Linked DNA regions of Caenorhabditis elegans. The protein of the gene in region 2 binds, or shares a complex with, the protein of the main gene of each other region. Each region holds a gene or a part of one and is shown on either strand. Other genes may lie near its edges. The genes, in order: cul-4 and fem-3.

Region 1 (9,333 bases), on a different chromosome or scaffold from region 2:
TTTTGAACGCAGAACAACTGAAGGAAACAATAATTGAGAAAGTGGAAGCCTGAGAACGATTCGTGTTAGAAAAAAATTAACCTGTATTTTCATAAAAAGGAAGTCGAAATAACTAGAGCGGGGAGAGTGCAGTTTTAGTGGCTAATAAATTGTTTAATGGAGGATTGTTGCAAGATAGTTCAAATTAGGATTCAAGATGCTCTGCTTTAGTGCGCTTGGCCGATGGTTCACTGGATTCTCCCTCTCCGACAGTGACAACGTCGACGGCAGTCTGGAAAAATTTCAGTATTTTTTTATTGGCAGATTAAAGGTAACCTTCTGCTTTATCGGTTTCAAATTTGGTTTTGCTTTTGCATATCTTGATTTGACGGGAACAATTGGTTTTGCTTCTTCTACATTTTGAATTGGAGCTGGTGGCTCAGCGACGGATGGCACCTGAAATTAATCAACGATTGACTAAACTAAAAATTTGTTAAAACCTCTGTGCTCGTAACGATAGGATCAGAAGATGATGTTTTTACTTGTAGAGGTGCTTCAGAAACGATTGGCTCCGCTGGTGCAGATGGTTCAGGAACTGTATGGACATTTTTGACTTCGTTTAGCTGAAATTTTAAAATAAAATCTAAATGGGCTACAGTTGAACTCACAGCTGCAAGCTTTTTAGCTCCAATAATCGGCTTCACTTTGGCATATCTGGATCTAGCGGGTGGTACAAACGGTTTATGTTCGATTGAAGATACTTCAGAAGTTGATGGACTAGCAGATTCAACTTTCAAATTAACCTTCGGTGATGAGTTTTTGCTAGTTTCAGAGCATTCTTCTGTCAGATCAAAAATACTTCTCAACTTTTGGATTGTCGATTCGCTGGCTTGAGATCGTATATTTTTACCTCTCGCTATTTTTTCACTTTTAGATAAGGTATCGGGAGTGACGTCAGACGAATCAACTTTGATTGAAATTGGAGTGACTGGAGCCGGAGTTGATTCACGTATATCTCTCTTGATACCAGTCGCCATCGTCTCCAAATCTTTTAACATCTCGTAGTTCACTTTATTCGATAATTTCTTCTCCGCAATAACTTTCTCAACGGCACTAGCAACAGATGTAGACGTGGTGTCAGTTTTTCGATTGGATCTCGGTTTCTTCTTCTTTACTCCACCATTCAATTCACGTTCGCGTTTCTTCTCTTCAATCTCTTTCATTGCTTCTCCATTTGCTTTCATCCAATAATCTGTTTTGATGGCTACTTCACTTTCCGTCAGAATGTACGAATCGATTTCTGAATCTGAGATGTCTTCTTCTAAATCGGCATTAACTATTGGATGTGGGACGGGTTCGGGTTCTGGCTCCGATGTTCTTTTTATTCCAAGAGATTCCAGCGAAGGACGATACTTATCATATTTTTCCAATGAGTTCGAGGTGCTGTAATTACAATATTTAAACAAACCTAGAGTTAAAAATACAAAGAAAACTCACCAAGGATCTTCTTCAGCAGCGTTGAAAACTGTATTGATAATTTCATTTCGTACCATTTCATCAGCTCCTTTTTCCAACCCTGAACTCTCCACAACTGTTTCAGTAAGCGTCTGCATTTTATCATTTTCCTTACCTAGATTTTCACTAATCATTCGTGCATATGGACTTTTTGAAAACTTTTCCTTCCTCTTCTTATCGAGTGCAGCTTCAACGTGAGCTTCCATTTCTCCTAGTTGTTCTTTCATTGATTCTGCTTGCTCAGCCTCTTTTCTCAATTGATCCTCACGTGCTTTCCGTCGTGATTCTCGATATGCTGGTGGATCTTCACTATGTTCTAGATCAACAGTTGAAAACTCATCAATCGTAAGACTTCCCGAAGGGGTTTGACTGAATTCATCGAGACGTTTTCTGATTACGCCTTCACTGATGTGTACAACACGAACGATATCATTAATGGATCGATTGAAATTAAGAGATCTTGCAGCAATTAAAAGAGCAGCTCCACAGATTCCAGTTGGTCTTCTTCCAGTAGACATCCAATCTCTTTTCATTCTTTGTACTAGTCTTGTCGCCAAATTCACAACTTCTTTCTGTTTGTCGCCAAAATCCAAAACACATGCGAATCGCATAATGTAAAGACAAGGATCCGTGGATGGGAGATTGATACGCAATGAACGAGAAAGGTAGTTCAAGTTTCTTCCCAAATCGAAGACATTAATCTGAAATTGCACTTATTAATTACAAAAGTTTACCGAAATGTCATACCTGAGTGACATCACTGAAATCGAGCAACAAATGAGCAGTGTTTTCTAGTCGACAAGTTATATACATGCAAACAGCAACAACGGATGATCTATTACGTCCACGTGTCAGGTTACGAGATACGCACATTTTGTAAAAATTGAATGCAGTGTTCATACAATGTGAATTTATTCGTAACTGACTGCCGAGCTCATCAATAACTTTCCGGCCTTTTGCATACGTCATTTCTCGAGATTCTTGAGATCCCATTCCATTGAAATTGTTAGCTGCAGCTCGCTCTGAGGACACAAATTGACCTGAAATAACATTTTGTAAATACTTTTAACATTCCTACCACATACCGACTAGAGTGTGACCTGATCCACCAGCTCGCTCTTGAAATTGATTTTCAGTTACGACAATGGATTCTTCGAGCACAGTTCCGCACGCAGTGCACGTAGCATCTCCTCTAGCAGCATCCTCATCAATTTCAGAACTTCCGCAGTTCGAGCAGGTTCGAACCATTTTGTGTCTGCTTAACGAGAAACTTTGAAAATTGATTAAGAAAAAAAAAACCAAAAAAATGTAAGATCACGGATATTTCAACCGATTCGAGTAATTTCGTATAAAGAATTCAATCAAATAACCATGTATTCAACAGTATTTTGGATGCACATGTTAGGTGAAGAGAAAAACATAATTGAAAAAACAGAAACTAACATTTAGTACATTTTTCTCTAAAAAAGACGAAACTCGCACAAATAAAGGAAGAAAACTGTTCAATAACAGGGCAAACGAGATGAGAAGAGACCAGTGGCACGGATAAGGATTGAATTTGAAAAAGGAATAAAAATGATATTATGTATTACGCAACATAATTATAGCTAGATGCCTCTTCAGGATCCCTCGATATATATTCACGTTCGATGAGTGATTCCAGGCGTTTCTTGATATCGGCGGTGCTCACGGGGAATCTGAAACAAAAAAAACTCATTTAGAATAATTAACATTTATTTTACCTTAGCAGCAAATTTAGCAAAATTTAGACAAATTTTTATCAAGGAAATCGCTTCAAAATGTCAAAATTCATATTAATTTACTAAATGCTATGTTTTTGAGAGTATTGAAAAAGTTCTCAATTTTTACATTTCCTTTGATTTTGGTTTGTAGTTGTGTGCCAATTTATATTTTACATTCAATATTTTCATAAAAAATTTCAAAACCAGTTTTTATTTTTCGGCTTATATTGATATTACTATTTCTCGAATAAAAAATTGATTGAATTTTTTGAATTTAAAAATAAAGTTTTTTTTCTGAAAACTTACCTCAATTGTTGCAATAACTCCGTCATTAGAGTTTGATGGTTTAGCTGCTTTCGAGCCTTCATAATTCTTACAACAGCAGCGTCAATTTTGTATTGTCGATCAGAATTCACTTCTTCTTTCACTTCCTTCGTCTCTTCCACAGCTGTCTTTATATTGACCTGAGCAATCCTAACTCGGCAGCGCTTCTCCGTGAATTTAGAATTTACAACAAATTTCTCGTTTTTCAAATTTTCCACAGTACCTTCCTTCTAAACAAAGACATTTTTAGTTGAGTTGAATGAAAAGTTAGTTACCTTTTCGGATCCACCTCCTTCGACTCTCTGCAAAACCTTAGGCTTATCACGTCCACCAAGAAGTGCAAGCACATTTTTGACGACTTCAATTTCCAGAATCTTAGTGTGCTCAACAATTTCAGCGACAGTCCATGTCTCACATTTGTTGAAAAGAAGAAGAATGACAGTTTGATACATTGTTGCAATTAATTCTTTCTTACATCCAGGCCTGAATGAAGCAGAAATAACCGCAGAAGCCAGTCCGTGATGCCATTTAACATTCCGATTTCCATGTTGAACACGGTAAAAATCTTGATAATCGGTAAGTGTATCTCTCATCTCTTTTGGAATATTAATTTCATATGTGTCATAGGTTGGCCAATATTCTGGAGTTATGACTCGAGCAGTGAAATTCGCTTTTTCTTTGTTCATATGTTCTAGATATTGGTTGAATAATCTTCCATAATTTTCAGATGCATCCATATCTTTGAACATTCCTTCCAATTTGTATGTGAACGCCGAGCCACACTCTAAATCAAAAAGTTATTAATTTGAAAACTAAAAAGTATTAAATACCTGTCTTTAACTTGCATAAAACCATCTTTTCAGCATCAACAGATGCACTTCTTTCAAGGAAAAGCCGCTTAGCAAGACCTCTTTTATAATATGCTTCAAAAACGTCTTTTCCACGAAGATATCGGAACAACACAATAGCTTCATCTACCATTTGATCGAGAGTTGTGTCGTCTGATACATTTTTATTGCTACTGTGAAGAAGTGTGTGGAAGTGCTTTGCTGAAAAATAGAAATTATAATATAGAAATTTCGAATTATGACTTACAAATAAGTTCTGCAGATCGATCGACTTGTTTATTTACAAAAGATTCAAAGGCATCTGACAAACATTGTCTCATTTTTACTGGATCATTTGCGGATTTGAAGCTTCCAGTCACTGAAATATGATTAATGATCCACGTATGAGGAATTTAAAATTTTTGATAATAATAAAAATAACAGAGAACTTTGAAATACTTACTGATAAAATCAACTTTCTTCTTGAAAGCAAGTAGCTCAGAAACAAGATCTTCATCAGGACACGTAGCAATCAATTTCTCTCCGCGTTTTTTCAAATACTTTGAGAATTGTGTACGTACTTCATCCTCTCCACCAACGCATTGACGGCACAAATTAAACATTCGGCCGATATCCGAAATGTTATCAGAATCGATAAGATCGTCAAAATCATGTGTGAGAATTTCAGGAATTGCTTGTTGAATGAGACAGTTTGTCACTGTTGCCTGAACATCTTTTAGAGCCGACGGTTCATCAAAGTTCACTTTCACTAATTGCGAATATCGATTTATCTGGTCTTCACAGTATTCCATGTAATCGTTGCACTAAAATAAATATAAGTAATCGAGATTTTTCAAAGAATGAAAATAAAAACCTACATTCATTTTTGGAACTTTATCGATTCTCTCATTGTTATAGTGCTCTCGAAGTTGGCTAATAAGGAATTTTGCAAATTCTTCAGACACATGAACTGTTTGAAGCATATCTACAAGACTTCTGAGAGGACTGTCCACTGGATACCTCTGCATAATTTTCTGCATCGCCATATAGAGAGCATTGAACAGTTTTGTTGCTTTGAATTCCTTGAAAATGTTCGGGAAGAATGTTTTTTGAAATATTTGCATGAAACATTCCCACAAAGGGAGAATTTCTGTGTCTGTAGCGCCGAGCGCAATTCGGTCCAGATGAAGAAAAATATTCCTGATGAGATTCTGAGTTAAATCTATTGTTTTTTTTTAAATAAAACTCTTCACTTACGATTTTAACTGGATATGCTTGCCAGATCTGCCCAAACTTTTCCAAATATTGCTCACAATTGTCTTCTGCAAGAGGAACTTGCTCAACCGCATTTAACGACTCCTTTAATGATTTTGCAAACTGAACAACAATTGCAACGAGACGATCGTAAAGTACTTTTGATTGATTTTTATCGCACACAGATCTGACCTTCTGAAAACGCTCAGTTTTTACAATGTTTTAAACAATCAAAAACTTACGCTGAATAAGCCTTCCAAAGTGGTTACTGTTTTCCTATCTTCAAGAATAGCGAAAACATTATCCGAAAGAACAGCCCAATCTCTACCAACTGATCCGTCTGTACCTGGATATCAAACAAAATATAACACCTATCGAAGAATAAACTTACTATCAATATTGGTGTCCCCCATCGCAACATCATTTTGATTCGCGTTCGCTGGAAATCAAAATAACTAATGAAAACTTTACAAATATTACCTTTAAAGTTCTTTATCACAAGTTTCTTTTTGATGCGTTCATTTGTTGCGGTTGTGCGTGAAGAATTGCCGGTTTGACTCTGAAAACTTCCCACCGATGAACATTTTAATAAATTAATAACTCACTCTGAAATTCTCAATAAATCCATTTCCATGTCTGATTTCGCTGCTTGTTGAAACATCGTCCATTTCTCCGTCGGAACGATTTTCAGTGTCGCCGCGCATTTGCTTAGCCTGCAATTTATTTTTTCTCACATTGAAAATATTATTTAATTACTACCTCTGTACCTTCAACGGTGCTGGCTGTGCGCTTTGACGATTTTCGAAGCTGTTTACTTCGACTTTTTTCTGTTGAAATAGTCGGTGGTGCTCCAGATGTCATCCAATTTGTTCTGTTGAAAATGTTAGATTATTAGTATCTCTGAAGAAACAAACAGGACGGTTGGCGGTTTTATATAGAAAGATATTTTAAGATTAAAATAAAACGATTGGATTTAAAATTTCCTTTTCTCAAAATTAGATTTCCGCAGTTTAGAAAAACAATTTGGCTTAAATAATATTTGAAATGCCGAACTCATGCATTATTTTGAAGGCAAACTGAGGCCAAAGACGTTTGCTGACGCGCGGCGTGCTGGCGCATCTCTAGTGCTTGAGAGGCTGTTCATATTGAGAGACGCAGACTCTGCATAAAACTGTATTTATTATAATAGTAGGTCTACAATTATTTTTGTAAAGATTTTCTACAATGTTTGATCCTTTCATTGGAACCAAAAATTTATCAATTCAGCATTATCAAAAAAAGAGAGTATATCCAGTACTTGACCAGAAGAAGACAATTCCAACATCTGTGTTTGTGTTCATTTAATAAATATTTTATTAATTTCAACATGGAAAATTAGGTCAAAATACTTTGAAAAAAACAACCGAGATGCCTGAAAAATGAAAGAAAATTAGGGGACCCGATAGGAAAAGTCTGTTTAATTATTTGGTAGAGTAATAAAACTAAAAATGGAAAGGATTTGAATTCATATGAACTCGGCAAATCTCGTTTGGAAGTCGATGAGAAAGAGGGTTCGGTGCAGAATATCTAGAATCGGTCGAAACAAGAGTAGTAAACGGTTGATGGGGAATGAATAGATGATTATGAGAAAGACCTCCAACTCTTGTAGACGGTAGAAATGGATTTGGGGCTGCAGGTGTTGGAAGAATGAAACGAAGTGGAAGAGGAGTCTGAAATAATTGATAATTCAGATGTATTAAAGATTTAAACCTACAGTAGTAGTTGCAACATTTCTCATCGATAGAGCCTGTTTCAATGAATATTCATCAATCATTTCATTTTTTTCCAATGCCTTTGAAATTAACTTCAAGATAATTGGATCAACAACTGTTTGAATACTTGAAAGTGAAGAAGAAGAAGCTGATGGCATTGTTGCAGGAGTCTTGGTTTTATCAAAATTTGGTTGTCTAGTTGTGGTTGAAAATGGAATCGTTTGAAGTGATATTTGTCTTGGAGTTGTGGTAGTTGTTGGAATGGCTGAAAATTGACAGCTTTAATCGGATGTTAACTTAATTTATTAATTATAAATTGCAATTTTGAAAATGTTGTATATACTGAATTTTTCAAATAGTTGTCTTGTAGATGTTACCTGTGGATGTTCTTGTTGTGGTTGTCATAGTAGTCGTGGTAATTTGAGGATTAGTTTTAGTAGTGAAAACATTGAAAACTTCTTTCTTTTTTTCTGGTTTCTGTGATTTTCTTGGTTTCATTGTTGTAAAAGTGGCTCTATACGGAGAATCAATCTTCGTAATATCAATGACTGGAGCTACTGGAACTGATGCAACGGGTGGTAATTGGGGTTTAAATTGTGAAGCAGCTAATAATTCAATCATATCCTTATCTGGAATAATGAAATGTTTAATTTTCATAACAAATATCTCGAAGAAAGGAAATCACCTTTCCCGAGTTCAAACAAATTCTGCCACGGACCTTCCATTGCAAAGAGAGGACTTTGACTAACTACTGGAAGGAATCGAGAAGTTACTGTAGAGTTAATATTCAAAAGTTTGTGAAGCATTTCACTAAAATCTCTTTGTGGTCGTGTGCCAGGCCTGAAACAAGATTATTTGAAAATGCAGAATATTGGATGAACTTACAATGGTTTCGAGCTTCTTTTGCTACGTTTCCTTTTTGATTCTCCATACATTCGTCTCATTTTAACTAACTGTATTTTCTGTTTCTCAAAGTTTGTTAATGGTCGGATAAGATGATCTCCAACGTAGACGTGATTATTCTAGAAAAAAACCGTATTTGTTAATTGTAGTAATTAAAAAGTGAAGTGACTATTTCATAGATTCTGACAAAAGAATACGGTAATTGGTCTCGAAGCGTCTTTGACCTATCAATTTCCGATCGTGTCGACCCCTGATACCGTAATATTGAAGATTTACATTAAAACCAGATGGTTCTAACTATACACAATTGGAAAAAAAAACTTACTCGAACAATACAAGAATCCAACACCACTTCAATAGAATCATCATACCCTCCACAGAATTTTGGAATTGTAGGAAACGAGGCTTCGAAAGAATCAAATGAAGATGATGAACTGTAAAACGCTTAATTTTCAAAACAATCGAGAATAGAATGACAAACTCTTTGAATGCACTTAGATCATGCTGATACGAACTAAATATGTGTAGTTCGTGATCATTCAACTTTCGCTTGGAAACACCATGAAGGAATAGGGTACTGTCCTGAAAGATTTGGAAGATATTTTCAAATTGTTTTCTACGAATGCTTACAAATACAGCACATGCTGGTCCAACATAACCATATCCAGGTTGATATTCAGGTGGTGTATTTAGAATTAGGGCATTACCAATTAAAGGTAATATAAAATAATGAAGACTTTTAACCATGGCAACCAAAGGGTACACCTAGTCAAAGACTCTATTTGGTCGTGATGAGTTCAAGTTACGAAGCAAGAACAAAGATGGGACTGTGAGGAGACAAGGGGCGTCGCTTCTCGGCACACAAACTATGGTGTTGTTCCCACGGCCGGAAGCTGCTTTACACGAACCTTATGCAATCGGACGCTCTATGTTCGTACACACACACAATACGCTCGTACGATCGGCCAGCCTGCAACCTTTTTCGATGTGAGGCTTTGTTTTCCAAAATTAAATATACACAAACAGACAAAATCTAAT
Region 2 (8,154 bases):
GGGATGATATGGGAACTAATATATTTCTATCGACACCTCCTTTTTTGGTTTGATTCATTTTAATGTTTTTTAAAAATAATTTTGAACAAATATAATAATGAAATTACTTTGTTTACGAGGAGATTTTAGCTTTACCGTTTGTTCGCCGTTCAATATGATTTCTTTTTAAATACACGAAACACGGGTGTTCTAGCTTTTGATGTTTTTATTAGGTACAAAATTATAAGTTATGAAAACATGAGAACAAACAAGTAAAATTTGGATTAAATTAAATTATTAGGCTTTTGACATATACACATCGAGCTCCGCATCCAACTCTTCGAGTGTCTTCTTTGGTTGAGCTTCTCTCTTTGGCTTCTTGGCCTTCAATTTCTTTTGAGCTCCAGCCCCTCCTGTTGGTTTTCCTGATTTAACATTCTGCCTTTTTGGTGCTCTTTGAGCTGGTCTTCCATTTGATGGAGCTCTTCTTGGAGCTTCTGGGAACTTGACACGGTTTGCAATATTTGCTGAATCAATGATAGCGAATTTGATCTCCTTTCCGTCGAGTGAGACTCCGGCAAACTTTTGGATGAGACGATCAGCGTGACGTTTTGGGAGAGTCACATCTCCGGTTCCTACTGGTTTTCCGTGCTCGTTGAAGTTCACGGAGACGTTTCGAATTTTGAATTCAGCGAAGAGTTGACGAAGGTCCCCGGAGTGAACGGTGTGGGCCAAGTTTGACAAGTTGATACGTACTTCACGGTTTTCTGGAAATGTTAACCATAACTTAAGAGCAAAATGGCATTTATAACTTACCATTTGCTGGAATAGATCTGTCAACTGTTCTGATTCCTCCACTTTGGCGTCTTGGTTGCGCAGTTGGTCTTCTTGATGGTCCAGCAGTTCCAGTGGAGAATCTCTTTTTAACTCCACCAACTGATGCTCTTTTGATTGGACTTTTCTTTGTTCTTCTGATTCCAGCGGAAAGTGGAGCATCGATAGCAATAGCACGAGCCATTTTGATAGAAGTTCTCTGAAATTTGATTCATAAATAATTGATTGAAGGCAATGAATGTAGAAAGCTGAGATGTAACATTGAAAGAGGGTGAGCAAATGGCAATAAGAGAACTAATATAGTCAATTGACTATTGTTGTACATAAATTAAAATAATGAAATGGAAAAGAGACCAAGTCGGCGGAATGAATGATTGACTCTGTGTGGGATATTCTCTGAGAATGGGGAAATAGGTAAACGCAGCGTTTGGAAGTGAAGACTTTTCAATCGATAGACTAGGTGGATGGAGTATCTGGAGATGGCTACTTGGAACTTCGGAGAAGATGGGAAAGGTCGTTTATCAAATTGGCAGAGATAGTATTATTTTAATTAGAATAGGTAGGTGACATCAAAAAATAAAACACAGAAATTACCAATTTGGGGGAGTTGTTGAAGATTGATTATTAAATTCGTAGTTTCTTTATAAAGTGCTCGATTCTTATCAAGAGGAACTTGGACATCAAAATTTAAAGATTGTAAATTATAAAGTTTAGAAAAATCTAGCCTGTATAATTTTTCTTAGTTTAGCAAAGCTTTAAAAATATATACAAAAGATTGGTAAAATGCGACTTACTTTAGAACTACAGAGAATTTCATATAACTATAATACATTGGAAAAGCAAAAAAAACCATAAATAAATGAAATATGTTATGACCATCTCGGTAAATGAATGATAGAATGAATTAATGCATATAGATCGAGCATCCATTAAAAACAGATCGTTGTTAAAAAGGCGGGACTGGTGCTGTGGAGGAAAGGGTGACGATCTTGGGATTGTTAAGAAAGTTGGCAGATGATGTATCGAATGGGAAAATACGAGTTTTCTAGCACACGCGAATATGTGTAATGTATATCAGTTGAATAGAAATTCAAATTATATTCATGTGGAATTGTATCGATATGTATCCTTTTCAGCATGACTTTTGTACTTTTTTATTCAGAATGACAAAAAAATATTAAAAATTGAAGGAAAGATGCTACATTATGAAATTGATGGTTATATTGGAAAAATATAACTTTCGAAATATTTTACCAATTGAGTCGTAGTAGACTAATTGCCAAATAGTGGGTTTTTTGTAGTTCGGCTTCTAGCAATGAGCAATAAACGTTAAATCAACTGAAAATTACACAAAAACTCGTAAAAGCAACTGGAACTCTTAGTGTTTCATTCGAAATGTTTCGAATGCCACACCCGTACACATTTGAATGAGTGTAAACCAACTGCGCACTCAACAGATGCTATTGTTTGTCTACCAGAGCGCACTTGCGTAGCGTCTAACCAATTGTAAGCAGCTTAATCGATATTATCTATACCTTTATTTTAAATTAAACAAATCTTAAAACAAATTAAAGTGATATGGAACCAGCTTTTTTTAGCAGTGTACCATTATGACATTTTTCAAAATGTAAACCAGAGGATTCGAAAGTGAATGACACAAGAAGCGTTAGTGAGATAGAAGGCAAATCGGTGATATTAAATAGGAAATCTGGGTAAAATATAGAGAGTTAGACTTTCAAATGAAATAATATTAAAATTAAAAGCAAATCATTATAACAATTGATATCATCGTTTCCTGGAGCAATCAGTAGCATAAACATTCATAATCCGAACATCATCAGAATAATGAACTTCATAGAAACGATTTTGATATTCTTCAATATCTTTTTTTCTTTTAATTGTTTCATAATAACCAGATACATCTAGAGGTGAGTAGCGAGAGATTTCAAACGGCGAAATTTGTAACTGTAGACGGGAAATTGAGAAATCATCAATTGCCAAGTCGAATATGATGTCTTCTGAAATTAGAACAAAACATAGTTGTGAAAGAAATTTTTTAATCGAAAAAGTTTCAGAATGGACTCTTTTTAAATGTGGAGAATTTAGTAATACCGAAAACGTGATTTTTTAAAAATTTTTGCTAACATCCGGGTTTGAATTCAATACAAAAAAATGCCAAAATCGAAAAAGCATGTTTTCAAACGATGGATTTTTTATGTCGATTTTTTGTCTTTCTGTTGTAGAATTTAGAAATTTGCGACTATGAAAACAAAAATTCCCTTTACGCTATTCGACTTTTGATGATTTTTTAAAGTTTCGCTTTAAAAAAATTGTGTTTTATATTTTGAAAAACATGTCATGTATATACTTTTAAATTATTTTAACAATAAATTCCTACCAACATTCTCCATGGCTAAACGATAGTGCTCAATACGTGGAAGCCCTCCAAATCCAGTTATGTCGCACCAAATCGTTGTGTGATATACAATCTACAAATGTAAAATAGTTTTTAACGCTTAAAAGCTTTAAATTAATATATGAGTACATAAATAACATTTTTAAAATGCTTACTTCCAAAATGCAGAGCTTCGCAAGCCAATCCAAAACCGTAATAATCTCATTTTCCAGTGGTGGCATTCCAAGTGCTTCATGAAATCTTCGAGCATAAAACTTTGAGAACTCTGTGCCACGTGGAACCACAAACGTAGTATGATACTTGGATTCATCTTCGTTCCAAAAATATTCGGGTGGATAAAAAGCGGCGATATTTTGAACAAGGCGTTGACCACGGGTAGCAGCGTAATTATACATTTGGGAATTGTTCCAAAACTGTGGCATTCCCGGAATATTGAAATAGAGTGTATGAAGAAGAGACGTGTAGTGATTGGAAAAGGCCGTACAATTCGGATCCGGATTGGGCTGGAATTAGGATTTTAAAAAAAGTAAAATACAAACGGAAATGCGCCGTTGAAGAGTACTGGAATTTCAAGATTTTGTTTTTGTTAAATTTTCACCGGTTTTTACATGTTTTCCTGATTTCTTAAAATCCCTGTTTTTTTTTGGTAATTGCGTAATTTTAGTTTTTTAATTAAAACAATTTTCCGAAAAACTAAGAAAATTCCGCAGCGACGAAAGTTTAAAATTACAGTACTTATTAAAGGCACACACCCGTTTTTATTTAACTAAAAATTGTCGTGTCGAGTCGGATATCCCTTTTTTGGTTCAAAAATCGAAAAAAAAATCGGGTAAGTAGAGCTTGTTTTAATTTATGATAAAACAAGGAAACTCACTAAAAATTGTCGAAAATACATGTAAAACCGAAATTCATCGCGATGAATCAAATCTTGCAACTCGAATCGAGTTATTTGACTGAAAATTAAAATTTTATTTTATAAAATTTCAGATTCGCCTCACACTTTCCCGTTCCGCCTTGCCAAATCATACATAAAATTGCAATAAGTTACAATTGTCTTCATTGTTCTTTGAAAAACGAATCGAGTAATTTCATCATTCCTTTCATATCCAGCACCGGCTGTTATTAATTGAATTGAAGTAATTTCAAGAAATCGATCAATTGAAAATTCATCCCAAGGATTTTGATCGAGAAGACTATCATCATAATACGTAGCTCCTGTCAATCGTTGTCTTTGTAAAGGAATTCCAGATATTAAAGGCCAATTGAGATCATCTACTGTTAAATTAGTCACTCCACAGTACTCGTCGAATCTTCTCATTTGTGCACGGAATTTGACATTTCTTCTGAAAACCTAGTTTTTGATCATTTTAGTTTGACTGGATGTGAATTAAAGAATTTAAAACAATTTCAACAAAAAAAAACATTAAAAAATTTAACTTACTTTAATTTTAGTTTCTGAGCTCTCGTTTCTCTGTCAGCTTCTACATCATCTGAACCCGGATCCACCTCCATTACAGTTACAATTGAAATAAATGGAAATCTCTCTTATTTTTACATTGAAATTTCTTGCTGGTCACTTCTTCCAATCCACCGTAGTTAACCGACTGGGTGGTCTACTACCCGTTTCTGGTTTTCTCTGCACTCTCTTCGGAGAGAGTGCAGACAAAATTCTCCGCGTTCGCAGTCCTGGTTCTGTTTCGAGACGTTGACGTCGCCCGACACCACTCCTACAACTGTTCGGACAGCGTCTGCAATTTTCGATTAGTAATATAGTTTTGGTTGTGAATATAATATAAATTGTGAAAAATTGCATTGAGAATTAGGAAAAGAGCATGTGAGAAGAGGAGGGGAATTTTTAGAATAACTGAGAATATAATTTAGAGAAACACGATTACTTCGCATCAATTCAGAATATCTTTTAAAATCTGAGAAATTTTGGTTAAAAAATAACACAGGGCGCTTAGTTTGTGGTTTTCTCAATTCTGTTTAATTTTTAAAACAGTAATTCTTATTTCGATAAACTAAAATGAATATGAAATTTTCTTACGATTAAAAAATGCATGAAACCAGATATAACAAATTGAAGGAAAACTGAAAAACTTCAGAAAGTGTTTTTTTCTGAAAATAAAAGCAGAAAAATTCGAAGCTCGCGCAAAGAACGTAAACGCGCTCCATTGCTAACTCATTTGAACATTAGTTTTTTTCATTGGGCTTTCAATCTTGTAAGTGATGTTTAGGCATCTAAAAGTTTTATAAATTGACAAAATCCAGCTTAAAAGATGCTATCAAAAACTAACTTTTCAGAATATTTATTTGGCTAATGTTTGACCCATACGTTTTTTGCCGAAAAGAATTTCAAAAATGAAAAGTATCTTGAAATGCATCAAAATCCGGGAATATTGCCGATGGTCAGTTTTTCAGCATTTCTAAATTGAGAGACTGAAATGGGAATTTATTTATTTTTATTCATCTGCTTTTTTATTTCATGAATATCCGCATCTGAAATCAGCTTTTTTTTTCAGGAAAATTGATTGAAAGAAGACAATAACAGCTCGTTGTTCAACATCTCGATTCTTCCATATGAATCGATGAATGGAAAAACCGTGGCATTTGGTAAAGTTTTGGCTGGAACCGAAGTTGTCTCCCGCATCGCCTTCAATAAATCAAACACGAAGGGTTCCAAGGCTTGCGTCATCACCGACTGTGGAGAAGTTATCTGAAAGGTTTTATCATAGATTTTCAAATTTTTTGGTTTATTATTATTTCTTTCTTTTTGTTCCGATAAGTCCATATATGAAATTTGTCCAGTTTTTATGAAAATAAACATTTATTTTATTTAATATTTTTTTATTCATCATATGCATGGGGGTTATCATCCTCGCTGTACTTCTGGCTTCGGCGACGGTGATCGCTTGGCTGCTCTACAAACACTTGAGAATGCGTCAAGCTTTGAAGGTTTGATTTCAAAATAAATTTATGAATAACTTCAATAAATTTTCAGCATCTCAATCAGCCACGATCATACCCAATCATCGGTCACGGACTCATCACCAAGCCAGATCCAGAGGGATTCATGAACCAAGTGATTGGAATGGGATATTTATATCCAGATCCACGAATGTGTCTTCTGTGGATTGGTCCATTCCCATGCCTGATGCTCTACTCTGGCGACCTTGTTGAAGCAATTTTCTCGTCGACGAAACATCTGAACAGGGTTCGCATACGTTTTGCTTGAACCATGGCTTGGAATCAGTATTTTGACGAGCCAGAAAGAACAATGGCGTCTTTTTTTGATTTTCTTTTATTGAAGATTTTGGTTCAGAAATTGTGTTGCCTTGGTGCAGAGTGAGAATTTCAATTTATAATTACTTATTTCAAATGTTTATTTTCAGTGAAAGAGTTGATGTTCTCTCCGTTATCGCCCTTTGTACTCTTGATATCATCTGCGAAACTTCCATGGGAATAGCTATCGGCGCTCAACTCGCTGAGGTTTGGGAAAACAACTCTAATCTCAACATTTCTAAATACTTTTTCAGAATAACGAGTATGTATGGGCAGTGCACACAATCAATAAACTGATTTCAAAGCGAACAAATAATCCTTTGATGTGGAATTCATTTATTTACAATTTGTACGGTAGTTTTATCATTAATAAGGTCAATTAATTTGTATTTTTAGAACAGAGGACGGACGGACGCATGAAAAATGTCTTCATATTTTCCATGATTTTACGAAGAAATTGATTGGCGAGAGAAAATAAGCACTACAGGAGAATGATTATAAGATGGAAGGTCGTCTCGCATTCCTGGATCTTCTTCTCGAAATGGTAAACAGTGGACAAATGGACGAAACAGATGTTCAAGCAGAAGGTAACACATTCATGTTAGAGGGTCACGATACAACATCTACAGGATTAATGTGGGCAGTTCATCTTCTGGGAAATCATCCCGACGTTCAGAGAAAAGTTCAAGCGGAACTGGATGAAGTAATGGGCGACGATGAAGATGTGACTATTGAACATCTCTCCAGAATGAAATATCTTGAATGTGCATTGAAAGAAGCTCTGCGTCTCTTTCCATCTGTTTTAATTATTACGAGAGAACTGAGTGATGATCAAGTAATTGGAGGCTTTAATATTCCAAAAGGAGTCACTTTTCTGCTCAACCTGTACCTTGTTCACCGCGATCCTGCTCAATGGAAGGATCCTGATGTTTTCGATCCGGATCGTTTCCATCCTGAAAACTCAATTGGTCGAAAATCATTCGCCTTTATCCCATTCTCAGCTGGAAGCCGTAATTGCATCGGTCAACGTTTTGCACTTATGGAAGAGAAGGTCATCATGGCTCATTTGTTGAGAAATTTCAATATAAAAGCTGTCGAGTTGATGCACGAGGTGAAAATTGAAAGCGCCGCTGATTGGGGAGACTTGCATTTTTTGTATGATTAAGCAATTTAAGCTGTATCCAATATATTGAAAATTATCGCGATGTCTATTTTCTCGCTGAAATGTTTCATTTTGCAATTTTAAATTGCTCTCATAAATAGGCACTATTGAAAATAGAATATAGAAAGTTTTACTTTTTATTTTGAATTTAAAAAATGTTTCTTCTAATGTAAAATTTTTTTCAGTCACAACAAAAGTAAACTTTTTCATATTACGTTTTTTTTTTGAAAGAAATTGTTAATTGCAAAATGAGAAAATTCTAGCGAAGAAATAGATAAATTACAATAGTTTTCAATTTTTTGGATAAAAAAAGCTTAATTAGCCTTTTTTATCCCCATTGGGGATTCCCCAATCGACGGTACTTTGAAAATATAACATGTAAAAATTAAATTTTAACTAAAATTGTTCAGGTCCGTCCAAAAATGGAGATCATCGTTCGCCCGGTCACTCCAATCCACATGAAGCTCACCAGACGCCGTCC

What was found.
Region 1: fem-3 (region 2) and cul-4 share a complex: the UniProt entries of both Caenorhabditis elegans proteins name them as parts of the E3 ubiquitin-protein ligase complex.

Annotation. Positions count from the first base shown.
Region 1 is NC_003280.10:7,299,280-7,308,612, reverse strand, and holds cul-4 (Cullin-4), read right to left. Parts: upstream 6,513-9,333; 5' UTR 6,503-6,512; coding exon 6,401-6,502; intron 6,355-6,400; coding exon 6,247-6,354; intron 6,201-6,246; coding exon 6,122-6,200; intron 6,081-6,121; coding exon 6,033-6,080; intron 5,988-6,032; coding exon 5,884-5,987; intron 5,837-5,883; coding exon 5,645-5,836; intron 5,599-5,644; coding exon 5,266-5,598; intron 5,212-5,265; coding exon 4,851-5,211; intron 4,767-4,850; coding exon 4,656-4,766; intron 4,610-4,655; coding exon 4,391-4,609; intron 4,345-4,390; coding exon 3,836-4,344; intron 3,791-3,835; coding exon 3,543-3,790; intron 3,192-3,542; coding exon 3,083-3,191; 3' UTR 2,855-3,082; downstream 1-2,854. Other genes in the region: brf-1 (B-related factor 1), read right to left, coding at 185-271, 316-435, 480-602, 648-1,422, 1,477-1,570, 1,610-2,195, 2,242-2,534, 2,580-2,742; C30G12.1 (uncharacterized protein), read right to left, coding at 7,123-7,350, 7,395-7,657, 7,770-8,021, 8,078-8,232, 8,278-8,414, 8,621-8,729, 8,777-8,877, 8,926-9,042. UniProt on the Caenorhabditis elegans protein: Component of cullin-based E3 ubiquitin-protein ligase complexes which mediate the ubiquitination and subsequent proteasomal degradation of target proteins.
Region 2 is NC_003282.8:9,101,789-9,109,942, reverse strand, and holds fem-3 (Sex-determination protein fem-3), read right to left. Parts: upstream 4,978-8,154; 5' UTR 4,742-4,977; coding exon 4,671-4,741; intron 4,581-4,670; exon of another isoform or gene 4,573-4,580; coding exon 4,228-4,572; intron 4,183-4,227; coding exon 4,104-4,182; intron 3,733-4,103; coding exon 3,385-3,732; intron 3,303-3,384; coding exon 3,212-3,302; intron 2,832-3,211; coding exon 2,599-2,831; 3' UTR 2,336-2,598; downstream 1-2,335. Other genes in the region: aly-1 (Chromatin target of PRMT1 protein C-terminal domain-containing protein), read right to left, coding at 277-746, 796-997; C01F6.14 (Ovule protein), read left to right, coding at 5,822-6,046. UniProt on the Caenorhabditis elegans protein: Required for male development. In XO (male) animals, fem-3 directs male differentiation in all tissues. In XX (hermaphrodite) animals, it specifies the first 80 or so germ cells to be sperm. Negatively regulates male development when bound to tra-2.